4 linked regions of the Saccharomyces cerevisiae S288C genome follow. Changing the gene in region 1 together with any one later gene gives a genetic interaction. Each region holds a gene or a part of one and is shown in the gene's direction. Other genes may lie near its edges.

Region 1 (3,092 bases):
ATCTTTTATGAGAATAAGGGGAAGCTGCATTACAAAGATATCCCTGTCCCCGAGCCTAAGCCAAATGAAATTTTAATCAACGTTAAATATTCTGGTGTATGTCACACCGATTTACATGCTTGGCACGGCGATTGGCCATTACCTGTTAAACTACCATTAGTAGGTGGTCATGAAGGTGCTGGTGTAGTTGTCAAACTAGGTTCCAATGTCAAGGGCTGGAAAGTCGGTGATTTAGCAGGTATCAAATGGCTGAACGGTTCTTGTATGACATGCGAATTCTGTGAATCAGGTCATGAATCAAATTGTCCAGATGCTGATTTATCTGGTTACACTCATGATGGTTCTTTCCAACAATTTGCGACCGCTGATGCTATTCAAGCCGCCAAAATTCAACAGGGTACCGACTTGGCCGAAGTAGCCCCAATATTATGTGCTGGTGTTACTGTATATAAAGCACTAAAAGAGGCAGACTTGAAAGCTGGTGACTGGGTTGCCATCTCTGGTGCTGCAGGTGGCTTGGGTTCCTTGGCCGTTCAATATGCAACTGCGATGGGTTACAGAGTTCTAGGTATTGATGCAGGTGAGGAAAAGGAAAAACTTTTCAAGAAATTGGGGGGTGAAGTATTCATCGACTTTACTAAAACAAAGAATATGGTTTCTGACATTCAAGAAGCTACCAAAGGTGGCCCTCATGGTGTCATTAACGTTTCCGTTTCTGAAGCCGCTATTTCTCTATCTACGGAATATGTTAGACCATGTGGTACCGTCGTTTTGGTTGGTTTGCCCGCTAACGCCTACGTTAAATCAGAGGTATTCTCTCATGTGGTGAAGTCCATCAATATCAAGGGTTCTTATGTTGGTAACAGAGCTGATACGAGAGAAGCCTTAGACTTCTTTAGCAGAGGTTTGATCAAATCACCAATCAAAATTGTTGGATTATCTGAATTACCAAAGGTTTATGACTTGATGGAAAAGGGCAAGATTTTGGGTAGATACGTCGTCGATACTAGTAAATAATAGCGTGTTACGCACCCAAACTTTTTATGAAAGTCTTTGTTTATAATGATGAGGTTTATAAATATATAGTGGAGCAAAGATTAATCACTAAATCAAGAAGCAGTACCAGTATTTTTTCTATATCAAGTAGTGATAATGGAAATAGCCCAAATTTGGCTTCCGTCGACACATAGAACGTTTGAGAGACATTATCACCATCAAGCATCGAGCCGCCCAAACCTAACCGTATAAGTTTTTTCACGTTTTTGATTTTTCCTTGCACACTTCGATATTACTCTCACGATAAAAGGGCCGAAGAGAATATTTTTCTTGAACATCCAGAATTTTAATTCGGAGAAATTTCACAAGCCGCCGATTTAAGGGTCCTGTGTTCTTAATAATCAGCCTCTCTCAAAGCAGGTAAGAGGCAGTCTTTCTTTTAACAATAGGAGACATTCGAACTAAAACATCAGCCCCAAAAATGCGCTTGAAGGTCATTAGGATTTGGATTTCTTCCTCATTTTTAAAGGCGCCCCTTTTCGTTTTAGTCATGCTGGGCTAGACTAGCACGTAGTGTATGGAATCAAACTGATGCCGTCCCCTGAATTATATTTACAATTCAGAAACGTCTTTGAACATTTATAATTAAATTATAAAACAAAAGGAATTTGTAAAAAAGACTTTCAAAAGATGATCCAATAAACTAGATTAAAAACCCAATATAAGAAGAAGAATGTGTGGCATTTTTGGCTATTGCAATTTTTTAATTGAGAAGACAAGAGGAGAAATCATCGACACTTTAATCGAAGGGTTACAGGCATTGGAGTACAAGGAATATGACTCCAGTGGAATTTCGATCCAAGGTGATGAGCTGGAGTCTCTCAATATTTATAAGCAAACCGGTAAAATAAGCAGTTTGAAGGAAGAAATCGACCTTTACAATCTTAATAAGAACCTGCCCTTTATTTCGCATTGTGGCATTGCCCATACTAGGCGGGCAACACATGGAGGGCTAAGACGTGCAAATTGTCATCCACATAACTCAGATCCATCTAATGAATTTGTTGTGGTACACAACGGGGTTATTACCAACTTCGCTAATTTGAAAGCCTTATTGATGGCAAAGGGCTATGTGTTCAAAAGTGACACTGATACCGAATGTATTCCTAAACTGTACAAACACATTTATGATACAAGCATTGAACTCGGGTACAACCTCGATTTCCATGTATTAACAAATTTAGTACTTAAAGAATTGGAAGGCTCTTATGGTCTGCTATGCACTTCTTCTCATTTTCCCGATGAAGTGGTTGCCGCAAGAAAGGGTTCCCCGTTAGTTATTGGTGTTAAAGGTAAAACTGACATGGACGTAAACTTTGTCGAGGTGGAATATTTGGATCAAGAAGAAGACTACTTGAAGCTTAATACTCAAACCAAGAGTTCTGGTAATGTCTTGGCTGCCGCACCTGTAAAATATAACACTTGTTTAAGGAAGTCACCCCCCTTCGTTCACAATACCTGAGAAACTCTACAACTTCTACATTCAATCATGGCTCATCCACAGAAACGCCAGCCGAGAACGGCTTGCCGCGACCCATGGAATTCTATTTGTCATCCGATTGTGCATCACTAGCGCGGTATGTGAGTAAAGTAGTATATTTGGAGGATAATGATATTGCCCATATCTATGATGGGGAGCTTCATATCCATTGTTCTAAAATTGGTTCCGAGGACTTTTCATTTAGAACAGTTCAAAAATTAGAATTGGAGTTGTCCAAAATCAAAAAAGGCCCTTACGATAATTTTATGCAAAAGGAAATATACGAGCAGTGTGAAACAACAAAAAATGTCATGAGAGGAAGAGTTGACGCCTTTACAAACAGAGTAGTTTTGGGAGGACTAGAAAATTGGTTGACAGAATTGAGAAGAGCAAAACGAATAATAATGATTGCATCCAAGGCCTCCTTCCATTCATGCCTAGCTGCCCGTCCCATCTTTGAGGAGTTAATGGAAGTTCCAGTAAACGTTGAATTGGCCTTGGATTTTGTTGACCGCAATTGTTGCATTTTCAGGAACGATGTTTGCATATTTGTTTC
Region 2 (3,405 bases), on another chromosome or scaffold:
CATTTAAAGTTGCTTTTTGCCTGTGCGGGACAATTTTATTAGTCAGTATGGACATCTCCGCGGGGAATTTTTTTATCGGCAGAGCTGTTTAGACAAAGGATATAGATAGTATAAGGTGTTAGTACACACATTTCAACATAGTTATATTAGGAAGATTGCCACAAATTTCCTCTTTTTTTTTTTTTTCTTGTTTTTATTACACCTCCGCCCCTTGAATACCTTAGAGGTTAAGAAGTGAAATGCCAAGAGAAAGCCTAATAGGACACACAGTATTTACCACGGGAAAAGCGCGGGATATTTGAATCAGCTGGAGATTATTATGTACGCCATGTATATTTTTAGAGACGGCTTGTAACGGGTGCCAAGATATTCCATATTTTTATGTCTCAAAAAGGAAGAAAAGAGCTACGAGCACGTGCAAATATATGAACTTCAACACCTGTAGAAACTCGATAGTGAATAAATCAATCACAGTGCTTTCCTTGAAATAAGCTTCTGTCTGAACTTTAACAGTGATTTTTTTTTTATAGAACAGGCCTTTTCATCTGCAGAGATATGTCTAGTCTCGTAGGTTTTGACTCGTAACTTTGACTTCTGCATCTGGATCGTCAAAGCAACCCATACTTGACTTGATTACATTAGCATCAAAGAAAATCGTGCCAACGCCTTTTAGTCATGTCGAACGGTAGAGGAGGAGAAAGAGGGAGCTATCAAATTTAAAATTCGCAAACAAGCTGTTGAGAGCGACATAATAGCAATATTGTCGGGCCCCTTAAACACGTTTCATTAGTGTTTTAAGTGCCAAGCCAATGTGTTAGTAAGCTTGTAAAGGAATGCACGTATTAGAAAGTGAGCAACTTAAAAGTGAGCAAATATGATTAAAGTAGTATGCCTCCGAAGCTCGTCTTGTACTGCAAACTAAGCACAGAATATGCCGCACAAATGTCGGTGCCTATTATACATATGCTTTTCGTTATGTGTCTTAACAGACCTGACCGTTAACGGCAACAGAGAAAAGGAGCACTACCGACGGCTTTTTGCTTCTGGCCTATTTAGTGCCTGAGAATTTTGTGCGTGTTTCCTAGTGTCCGGCGGGCTTGACCTAGTCCACACTTCCAACAAGCACAAGCAGCGTGCTTCCTCACACTGGCGAATGCACCCAGAGTCGGCGTTGCCCGAAGTAAGAACCCTACCGCTACTCTGGCGCAGGCGCAGAGGAGCCACAGCCCTTTAAGACGCAAAAAAAGTAAAGCGGCAAAAGAAAAAACTGTCACTTTCGGACCGTTGGGTTATCCACGGGGTTTTCTGAGCACTCATGATCGGTAGCGGTATATTTCTGATCTCGCTCATTTTCTGTCAAATCGTCCTGATAATGGACGAAGACTGTACGTAAAGGGCAATTTTAAGAGACACAAAAGAATCCCACGAGAATTACTACTGTTGATTTTTGTGATTGGCTAGATAAGAAACCTTATCCGCTCACGCGCGTATTACTTCCTTCTTCGGATTCAGATTTCTTTCTGTGGGAACGGGTCATTTCTGCCATCTTACGTCTCTCAGCTTTTCTCTTTTGTTGAACCTTAATTTATTCATGTACATCAAGCTGTAGTTTGTTTTTTTCTTTTGGTAATTAATTTTTGTCCTTTTGTTTTCTTACAGCGTGTATATATTAATGATTAATTTTCTATGACTGATTTCGTCGCGCCCGGCGTTTTCTTGTCTCTTAATGCCTCCTGTTTCTGTTAATTGGTAAGATTATGTTAAATTGGTCAAGATATATACTAATACAATTTTTTAGTTGATCTTCCCACCCTTGTTTTCAAGCGATACCACGCCTATCCAGTGCTACTGATCGCTACTTGCCGAGCCCCTACTTTTATGCTAACAACCTTCGAGAATAGTTACATTCGAAGATGAATTATAACTGCGAAATACAAAACAGGAACAGTAAGAATGTTGACAATCAAGTCAGTCTACCCCCTATCCAAGTTCTATTTAACTCCATAGAAAAACGGAGTATGCCCGAGTTGGCATTTTCGAACATAGAATACTCGCATGGGAACCTTCGGTCTAGTACCGAGGAACAAAACTATCCTGCGCCTGTGTTACTTCCACAGCATCATTCGATTGCGTATCCCGCAATTAATTCTGGCGGTACTAGTACTACTGCTACTCCTACTGCTTCTACAGTTGAAACGTCCAAGACGAGTAGCAGTGCTATGGATACACAATCTCAATATGGCAGTTCAAAGAAGTCAAAATCGGCGTCCGATGATGCAAAGCCCTGCTACAAATCCGCCCCAATATATGAAATAATCAATAAGGAAAAGGATGCGGGGGCACAATACAACAGGCCATTTTCGGATTTTGTAGAATCTAAATCAAGGAGGAAGCAAAATTCGGGCAGGAGGTCTAACCTGCCAAAGGAAACAGTGCAGATACTGAATACTTGGTTGCTGAACCACCTGAATAACCCCTACCCAACTCAACAAGAAAAGAGGGAGTTGTTAATCAAAACTGGGCTAACCAAGATTCAACTTTCTAATTGGTTCATAAATGTGAGAAGACGCAAAATATTTAGTGATTACTATACCCTGGTAAACTCAATTCCTAATGACAACGCGAATAATACCCCAGTGGAACGAGTTCAAAACGTCTCAGCATATCATAACACATTATCTGCCACAAATAATACTATGTACGATGCTACGTCAACCTGCTCCACGGATTATGAATTATCCAAGAGATTTGCTCATGCCCCCGTTACACGCCGTAAAAAACTAATTGATAGGCTGGAAGAATTGAAAAAGCTATCCAACCCTGATATGAATTGATCACTTATCAATGCATTACTTAAATATTCATATAATTATATCTATTACCATTTACATTTTATCGTTACTATATATAGTATTATCATGTCATTGAACGTGTTACGTCTATTATGTTACACTGATTTTTTTTTTTTTTTTTTACATAACAGCATCATGCAAGCCTTTAAAAATAATGTAGGTATGTATATATACAATAATATATATATATATATATATATCTGTGTGTAGAATCTTTCTCAGATATAAATTGATTGATTCTACTGAGGTACGTAGTTATCATCTTCTCTTTCTTCATCGAAACCTGGTCTGAAAGTACCCATTGCATCAGGAGGAGGGATATAATTATTCGTATTAGATTGTGAGCTACTGTTATCAAATCTGGAATGTGGTACGCCGACACGCTCTGCAAATGGAATGGCGAAGCCACCTCTGGATGCATCAAAATCGAACCTCAATTCATCGCTGACTTGACCACCGCTCTTACCACGACCAAACTGTCTTCCATCTTCAAAACCAGGATCTAGATCAATGGTAATTGTCTTTTCGTCTAACTTTGTATCGGACAAATATT
Region 3 (2,840 bases), on another chromosome or scaffold:
TCTTCGTCAGCCAATTCAGCGTCAGCATCGGCTTCCTCAGCAGCTTTTTCCTGGGCTTCTTCGTACAAGGCCTTACCGTCGACGTCGAAGTGACCGTTTTCCTTGATGAAGTCGAATAAAGAGTCCAAGGATCTTGAACCTTGGTACACAACAGATTCGGACTTCTTACCACCTGGGTATAAGACGATTGTTGGGTAACCTTCAATTACGACGCCTCTGACATCGTTTTCAGTGTGGTCTAGTTTAGCAATCAAAACGTCGGATGTGGCGTTGGCGTAGGTATCAGCTAGTTCTTGGTAAGTTGGGGCCAATCTCTTACAGTGACCACACCATGGGGCATAGTACAAAACAAGAACGTCCTTCTTTGGGTCGTTGACGATTTCGTCATGGTTCTTACCGACCAATTGGAAGACAGAGGAATCTTGGTTCTCGAAGATCTCTTGGGACTTCACGATTGGGGAGGCATCACCTTTCAAGAAGTCCTTAACCAAAGATTCAATAGCCTTAGACTCCAACACGATCTTGTCGCTCAATTCGTCAAACGCCTCTTCAGAGAGTTGAGGCAAACCGTACTTCAAGTCTTCAGTCATGTCGTGGATGGCAAATAGAGGGAATTGTTCCTTCATGTTCAAGTTGCCGGCGTGTCTGCCGAATTTTCTGGCATCGATGCTAACAAAGTTCATTAGACCTCTGTTCTTTTTGGCCAACTCGGTAAAGAGAGGCTTGTATTCTTCCAATTCTTCCTCGTCATTGTAGAATAAGTAACCCAAAGGCAAACCGCTTTCGACGTATTGGGCGAAAACGGAACCGTCGATTTCACCAAAGTAGGGCAAGGCTTCCACTTGCAACCATTTTTCAAAAACATCAGCGTCAGCGATATCGGCTTTCTTACCGTTGTATACTACAGGCTCGTCCATGGCGGAGGGCAAGTAAATAGAAAGCTTGAAATCATCGTCTGCGTTTTCAGCGGAGACAAAGTCGTAGTCGTTGAAGTGTTTGTTGGCCATGGAGTAAAAGGTGGCGTTGAAGTCGGCGTCAATCTTACCGGATTGGACGATAACTGGAGTGACAAAAGTCTCGTTAGCAAGGTAAGCTGGTAGATCAGCAACAACGGCGACAGCCGGTTGGCTTTGCTTGATCATGAATTGGACAATGGCCTCGGCAGTTCTAGGTCCCTCGTAATCGATCGAGTTGTTAACATCGCTGTTTTTGAAAATCTTCAAGCTTGGGAACCCTGGAATGTTGTGTTCCATACACAGATCCTGGTTTTCAGTACAGTCGATCTGGGCCAAGGTAATGTTTTTCTCAACTAAAGTCTCGGCGGCTTTAACGTATTCAGGAGCCATGTTCTTACAGTGGCCACACCATGGAGCAAAAAACTCCGCAAGCACCAAGTCGTGCGACTGAATGTACTCATTGAAGGAGTCGGTGGCCAACTTAACGACAGCGGAGTCTTCAGGGGCCACAGCCTCTTGTTGGGCGAAAACAGAGGAGGCGAGCAGCAGGGAGGACCATGACAGGACGGCACCAGCAGAAAACTTCATAACGGGATAGATGTATGTTTTTCTTTATGTAGAGCTTGGCAGCTTTAAAATTACCAATTAGACATGCTGCTTGCAACAAGAAAATGCACGCGTAACAAAATATATATATATATATATATATATATGTATGTCCATACGGGTTTTTCGTTTTGTTGTGGTTGTAACAGCACAACAAAATGCTACACGGTGGCAAATTGGAAAAAGAGACTAGTGAGAGAAAAGGGAAAAAGAGGCGCCGCCCGACAGGGTAACATATTATCACGTGCAGCCCAGGATAATTTTCAGGACACGTGTTTCGAAAGGTTTGTCGCTCCGAAAAAATCAAAAAAAACAAAAAACGGGAAATAACAATAACGACAAAAATGGAAAAAAAAAAAATTTTAGACGCGGCGCTTGCACCCCGCATTATAAGTGGTGTGCCGACGGACGGTCAACCCCTTTCAGGGGGCCCCCTATCTTGGGCGTGGTGTCACACCACGCTCAAACGGTGGGCACTAATGAAAACGCGCCCATATAAATATCCGCTATCAACAGAACCCCCAACCCCCCCATCAGTGCCCAACTCAGCTTCCGTAAACCACAACACCACCACTAATACAACTCTATCATACACAAGATGTCATTCGACGACTTACACAAAGCCACTGAGAGAGCGGTCATCCAGGCCGTGGACCAGATCTGCGACGATTTCGAGGTTACCCCCGAGAAGCTGGACGAATTAACTGCTTACTTCATCGAACAAATGGAAAAAGGTCTAGCTCCACCAAAGGAAGGCCACACATTGGCCTCGGACAAAGGTCTTCCTATGATTCCGGCGTTCGTCACCGGGTCACCCAACGGGACGGAGCGCGGTGTTTTACTAGCCGCCGACCTGGGTGGTACCAATTTCCGTATATGTTCTGTTAACTTGCATGGAGATCATACTTTCTCCATGGAGCAAATGAAGTCCAAGATTCCCGATGATTTGCTAGACGATGAGAACGTCACATCTGACGACCTGTTTGGGTTTCTAGCACGTCGTACACTGGCCTTTATGAAGAAGTATCACCCGGACGAGTTGGCCAAGGGTAAAGACGCCAAGCCCATGAAACTGGGGTTCACTTTCTCATACCCTGTAGACCAGACCTCTCTAAACTCCGGGACATTGATCCGTTGGACCAAGGGTTTCCGCATCGCGGACACCGTCGGAAAGGATGTCGTGCAATTGTACCAGGAGCAATTAAGCGCTCAGGGTATGCCTATGATCAAGGTTGTTGCATTAACCAACGACACCGTCGGAACGTACCTATCGCATTG
Region 4 (4,032 bases), on another chromosome or scaffold:
GTTCTCTTGGGCACAATTTGATACTTATCAATCAATTGTTCAGAAATGACCTCTGCAGCATAACCCAATTCTAGATTAGACATACCACCCATGTTGTTAACCATAAGAACTACGTCCTCTTTGGGCTCAAACTTCACATAAGAACGGTCTTCATCCTCATCGAGAAGAAGAGGAAGCATCTGGGAAACGAGCTCAGAAATCGATGGCAGCGGAGAAGACTTATAGGTACCAGACTCGTTATGAATACCCATACCGATTTCATACTCATTCTCGCCCAAAATGGCTTCAGGTTTGTGGCCAGGAACCGTGCAGTGATCAAGAGATGCCGCAATTGTGACACTATTGTCAACTACTGACTGAGCAACTTCGGCAACTTCTGCCAACTCCAGTCCATGAGAAGCGGCTGCCCCAGCAATTTTATGCACCAATACGGTGGCTCCGAGACCTCGACGCCCGACTAAAGAACCTTTCTTCTTACCGACAGAGACATCATCTCCTACAGCAACCAGTTCGACTTTCATTCCAGCAGCTTTAGCTCTTTCAGCAGCGAGACCAAAATGTATAATATCACCGGTGTAATTTTTTACAATGATCAAGGTACCCTTAGGAGATTCAACAGCTTTAATAGCAGAATAGATCTGTTTAGTTGAAGGAGAAGCAAAAATGGCACCTGCTGCAATCGCATCTAAGGCACCTTCACCAACAAAACCGGCATGCGTTGGCTCATGACCACTGCCACCTCCAGAAACCAATGAAACTTTAGGAGGGTTCCCTGAATTAGGAGCTGACGCAGTCCGGAAAACCACTCTGTCGTGCTTAATCACTGTAAGGCCGGGATTGCTTCGAGCAAGGCCAAGTAGGTAGGGAGTAACGATGTTTCCATCTGATTTGAATTGTTTGTGAGACATGATTATTTAGTCAATTGTAGTTGGGTTTTGTCAGATTTTGAGGTAAAATACACTTTACAGACAATACTAGAAAAAAAAAGGGCTGATCTGGGTTCATTTATATATATTTAATGATCCAAAGTTTGAAAATTCAATCACACATTGCGGTATTTTCCCCTTCTCGTATTGTTGAGATCCTTATACAATATCAAGTACTTAATTATCCAACTATGGTGACGTAAGAATTTACTTGGCTCAATATCTCCCTATTTGGTACTACGATACGATTTCATGAAATTATGAGTTAAATAATTTAGAATCTAGTTATGGCCTGGCGGGAATTGTTTCTGTGCAGGGATTTACTCACAATCACCCTCTGCGGGAATAATATGCATAGGTTGTGATTAATTTTTTAAATTAAGTTCCATCAGAAGGCCTAGTTTTCTCCGTTGATAACTCCGCTCCGGAATATCATAATTTTCCGGTACCCCACTTACCCCGGAAATTTGAGTTATAAACGTTGTTTGAGCTTTACCTAGTCTTGGTCGATCAAAAGTTCTGGTACCTTTTCACCATGTCTCCCCCTTATTCATATAAAAAGAAGCGTATAATCGCACAGTATAACGCTCCTCTGATATATGATCTAGACCCAAGTAATGAGTTACGAATCTGGGAGGTCATCCTCCTCTTCCGAGAGTACACGGCCACCAACGCTAAAAGAAGAACCTAATGGTAAAATAGCTTGGGAAGAAAGTGTCAAAAAATCTAGGGAAAATAACGAAAATGACAGCACTCTCTTGAGGCGAAAGCTAGGTGAGACTCGAAAAGCAATTGAAACTGGAGGATCATCGAGAAATAAACTTTCTGCTTTGACACCCTTGAAAAAAGTGGTTGACGAGAGGAAGGATTCGGTACAACCACAGGTCCCTTCCATGGGTTTTACTTATTCTTTGCCTAATTTGAAGACTTTAAACAGTTTTTCAGATGCTGAGCAAGCACGTATAATGCAAGATTATCTATCCAGGGGGGTAAATCAAGGCAACAGTAATAATTATGTAGACCCACTATATCGGCAATTAAATCCAACTATGGGTAGTAGCAGGAACAGGCCTGTTTGGAGTTTAAATCAGCCGTTACCGCATGTATTGGATCGAGGCTTGGCAGCAAAGATGATACAAAAGAATATGGATGCAAGGTCCCGCGCATCATCGAGACGAGGGTCGACCGATATTTCAAGGGGGGGTTCTACTACGTCAGTGAAAGACTGGAAAAGGCTCCTTAGAGGTGCAGCACCGGGTAAAAAGCTTGGTGACATCGAAGCTCAAACGCAACGCGATAATACTGTTGGTGCAGATGTGAAACCTACTAAGTTAGAGCCTGAAAACCCACAAAAGCCCTCTAACACGCATATTGAGAATGTTTCACGTAAGAAAAAGCGTACTTCGCATAATGTCAATTTTTCATTAGGCGATGAAAGCTACGCATCCTCCATAGCCGATGCAGAATCCAGAAAATTAAAGAACATGCAAACCCTCGATGGTTCTACTCCGGTTTATACGAAGCTTCCTGAAGAACTTATTGAAGAGGAAAATAAAAGTACGAGTGCATTAGATGGTAATGAAATTGGTGCCTCAGAAGATGAAGACGCGGATATAATGACATTTCCTAACTTTTGGGCAAAAATTCGCTATCATATGCGAGAACCGTTTGCGGAGTTTCTCGGGACACTAGTTCTTGTCATTTTTGGTGTTGGTGGTAATCTTCAAGCAACTGTAACAAAAGGTAGTGGTGGTTCCTATGAATCCCTATCATTTGCATGGGGGTTCGGTTGTATGCTTGGTGTTTACGTCGCAGGCGGTATTAGTGGTGGTCATATTAACCCTGCTGTTACGATTTCAATGGCAATTTTTCGAAAATTCCCCTGGAAAAAGGTGCCCGTATATATTGTTGCTCAGATTATCGGTGCATATTTTGGAGGAGCTATGGCTTATGGTTATTTTTGGAGCTCTATCACAGAATTTGAGGGAGGTCCGCACATAAGAACAACGGCGACCGGTGCGTGTTTGTTTACTGATCCAAAGTCTTACGTCACGTGGAGAAATGCCTTCTTTGACGAATTCATAGGAGCCTCTATACTTGTGGGTTGTTTGATGGCGCTATTGGATGATAGTAATGCTCCACCTGGCAATGGTATGACCGCATTAATTATTGGATTCTTAGTCGCTGCAATTGGTATGGCCCTTGGATATCAAACAAGTTTCACAATCAATCCTGCAAGAGATCTCGGTCCTCGCATATTTGCTTCCATGATTGGCTATGGTCCACATGCTTTTCATCTCACACATTGGTGGTGGACATGGGGAGCCTGGGGTGGTCCAATTGCCGGCGGTATTGCTGGAGCACTCATATATGACATTTTCATTTTTACTGGATGCGAATCCCCAGTCAACTACCCAGACAACGGTTATATTGAGAATAGGGTAGGTAAACTTTTACATGCGGAGTTCCACCAGAATGATGGCACTGTCTCAGATGAATCTGGTGTTAACAGCAACAGCAACACTGGCAGCAAGAAATCTGTGCCTACTTCGTCATAATTAATATTTTCAATTTTTTACGATTTATAACCTAATTATTAATTTCACGAACTTATTATTTGACGACATACTACATCCGGGAGCCGTGACTTTGTTACCATCTCTTACTTGTGCTCTAAATTCTATCGTTTTGTTTTTGTAATAAAGAATGAGACTGCCTGCGGCTTAATTGTCTTTTTATTGTAGGCAAGAACAAAATTCGACTAATACGTAAAATTAAATGTCAAACCAGGAGTCTCACATTATGTTATTAATAAAAATAATAAAATTTTCAGCTCGTTGACGATAGGAAAATTCCTGGCACCATCAACTAGGTAATCCCACTGAAGATGTGTTTTATATGAATATGTGCTATATTTACTAATAATAAAGAGCAAGTTGCCAAATAAACTAATTGTGCTCAAAGAAAATTATTGTCATTATCATATATTTTCTCATATGCAATTTCAATCAATTTTAGACAAGTGATTATATATATGTAAACGGTTGTTTTTTGATGTTACGTTCTGTATGATTGACCAATGCTATTTTTCTCATGCGATATAAAT

Evidence for each region.
Region 2: mutations in YMR084W (region 1) and CUP9 together harm fitness more than expected from each alone (negative genetic interaction), as found in Saccharomyces cerevisiae (one large-scale study listed by BioGRID).
Region 3: mutations in YMR084W (region 1) and YCL042W together harm fitness more than expected from each alone (negative genetic interaction), as found in Saccharomyces cerevisiae (one large-scale study listed by BioGRID).
Region 4: mutations in YMR084W (region 1) and AQY3 together harm fitness more than expected from each alone (negative genetic interaction), as found in Saccharomyces cerevisiae (one large-scale study listed by BioGRID).

What each region holds. Positions count from the first base shown.
Region 1 is NC_001145.3:434,899-437,990, forward strand, and holds YMR084W (putative glutamine--fructose-6-phosphate transaminase), read left to right. Parts: upstream 1-1,729; coding exon 1,730-2,518; downstream 2,519-3,092. Other genes in the region: alcohol dehydrogenase ADH3, read left to right, coding at 1-1,017; YMR085W (uncharacterized protein), read left to right, coding at 2,593-3,092. UniProt on the Saccharomyces cerevisiae protein: Involved in amino sugar synthesis (formation of chitin, supplies the amino sugars of asparagine-linked oligosaccharides of glycoproteins).
Region 2 is NC_001148.4:212,471-215,875, reverse strand, and holds CUP9 (Cup9p), read left to right. Parts: upstream 1-1,913; coding exon 1,914-2,834; downstream 2,835-3,405. Other genes in the region: nuclear cap-binding protein subunit CBC2, read right to left, coding at 3,092-3,405. UniProt on the Saccharomyces cerevisiae protein: Probable DNA-binding protein which plays a role in protecting yeast cells against copper toxicity. May regulate the expression of important copper homeostatic genes.
Region 3 is NC_001135.5:48,678-51,517, forward strand, and holds YCL042W (uncharacterized protein), read left to right. Parts: upstream 1-1,906; coding exon 1,907-2,266; downstream 2,267-2,840. Other genes in the region: protein disulfide isomerase PDI1, read right to left, coding at 1-1,544; GLK1 (glucokinase), read left to right, coding at 2,161-2,840.
Region 4 is NC_001138.5:20,299-24,330, reverse strand, and holds AQY3 (Aqy3p), read left to right. Parts: upstream 1-1,543; coding exon 1,544-3,484; downstream 3,485-4,032. Other genes in the region: DAK2 (dihydroxyacetone kinase), read right to left, coding at 1-908. UniProt on the Saccharomyces cerevisiae protein: Channel protein that mediates glycerol entry under ethanol stimulation. Does not seem to mediate glycerol uptake under standard conditions.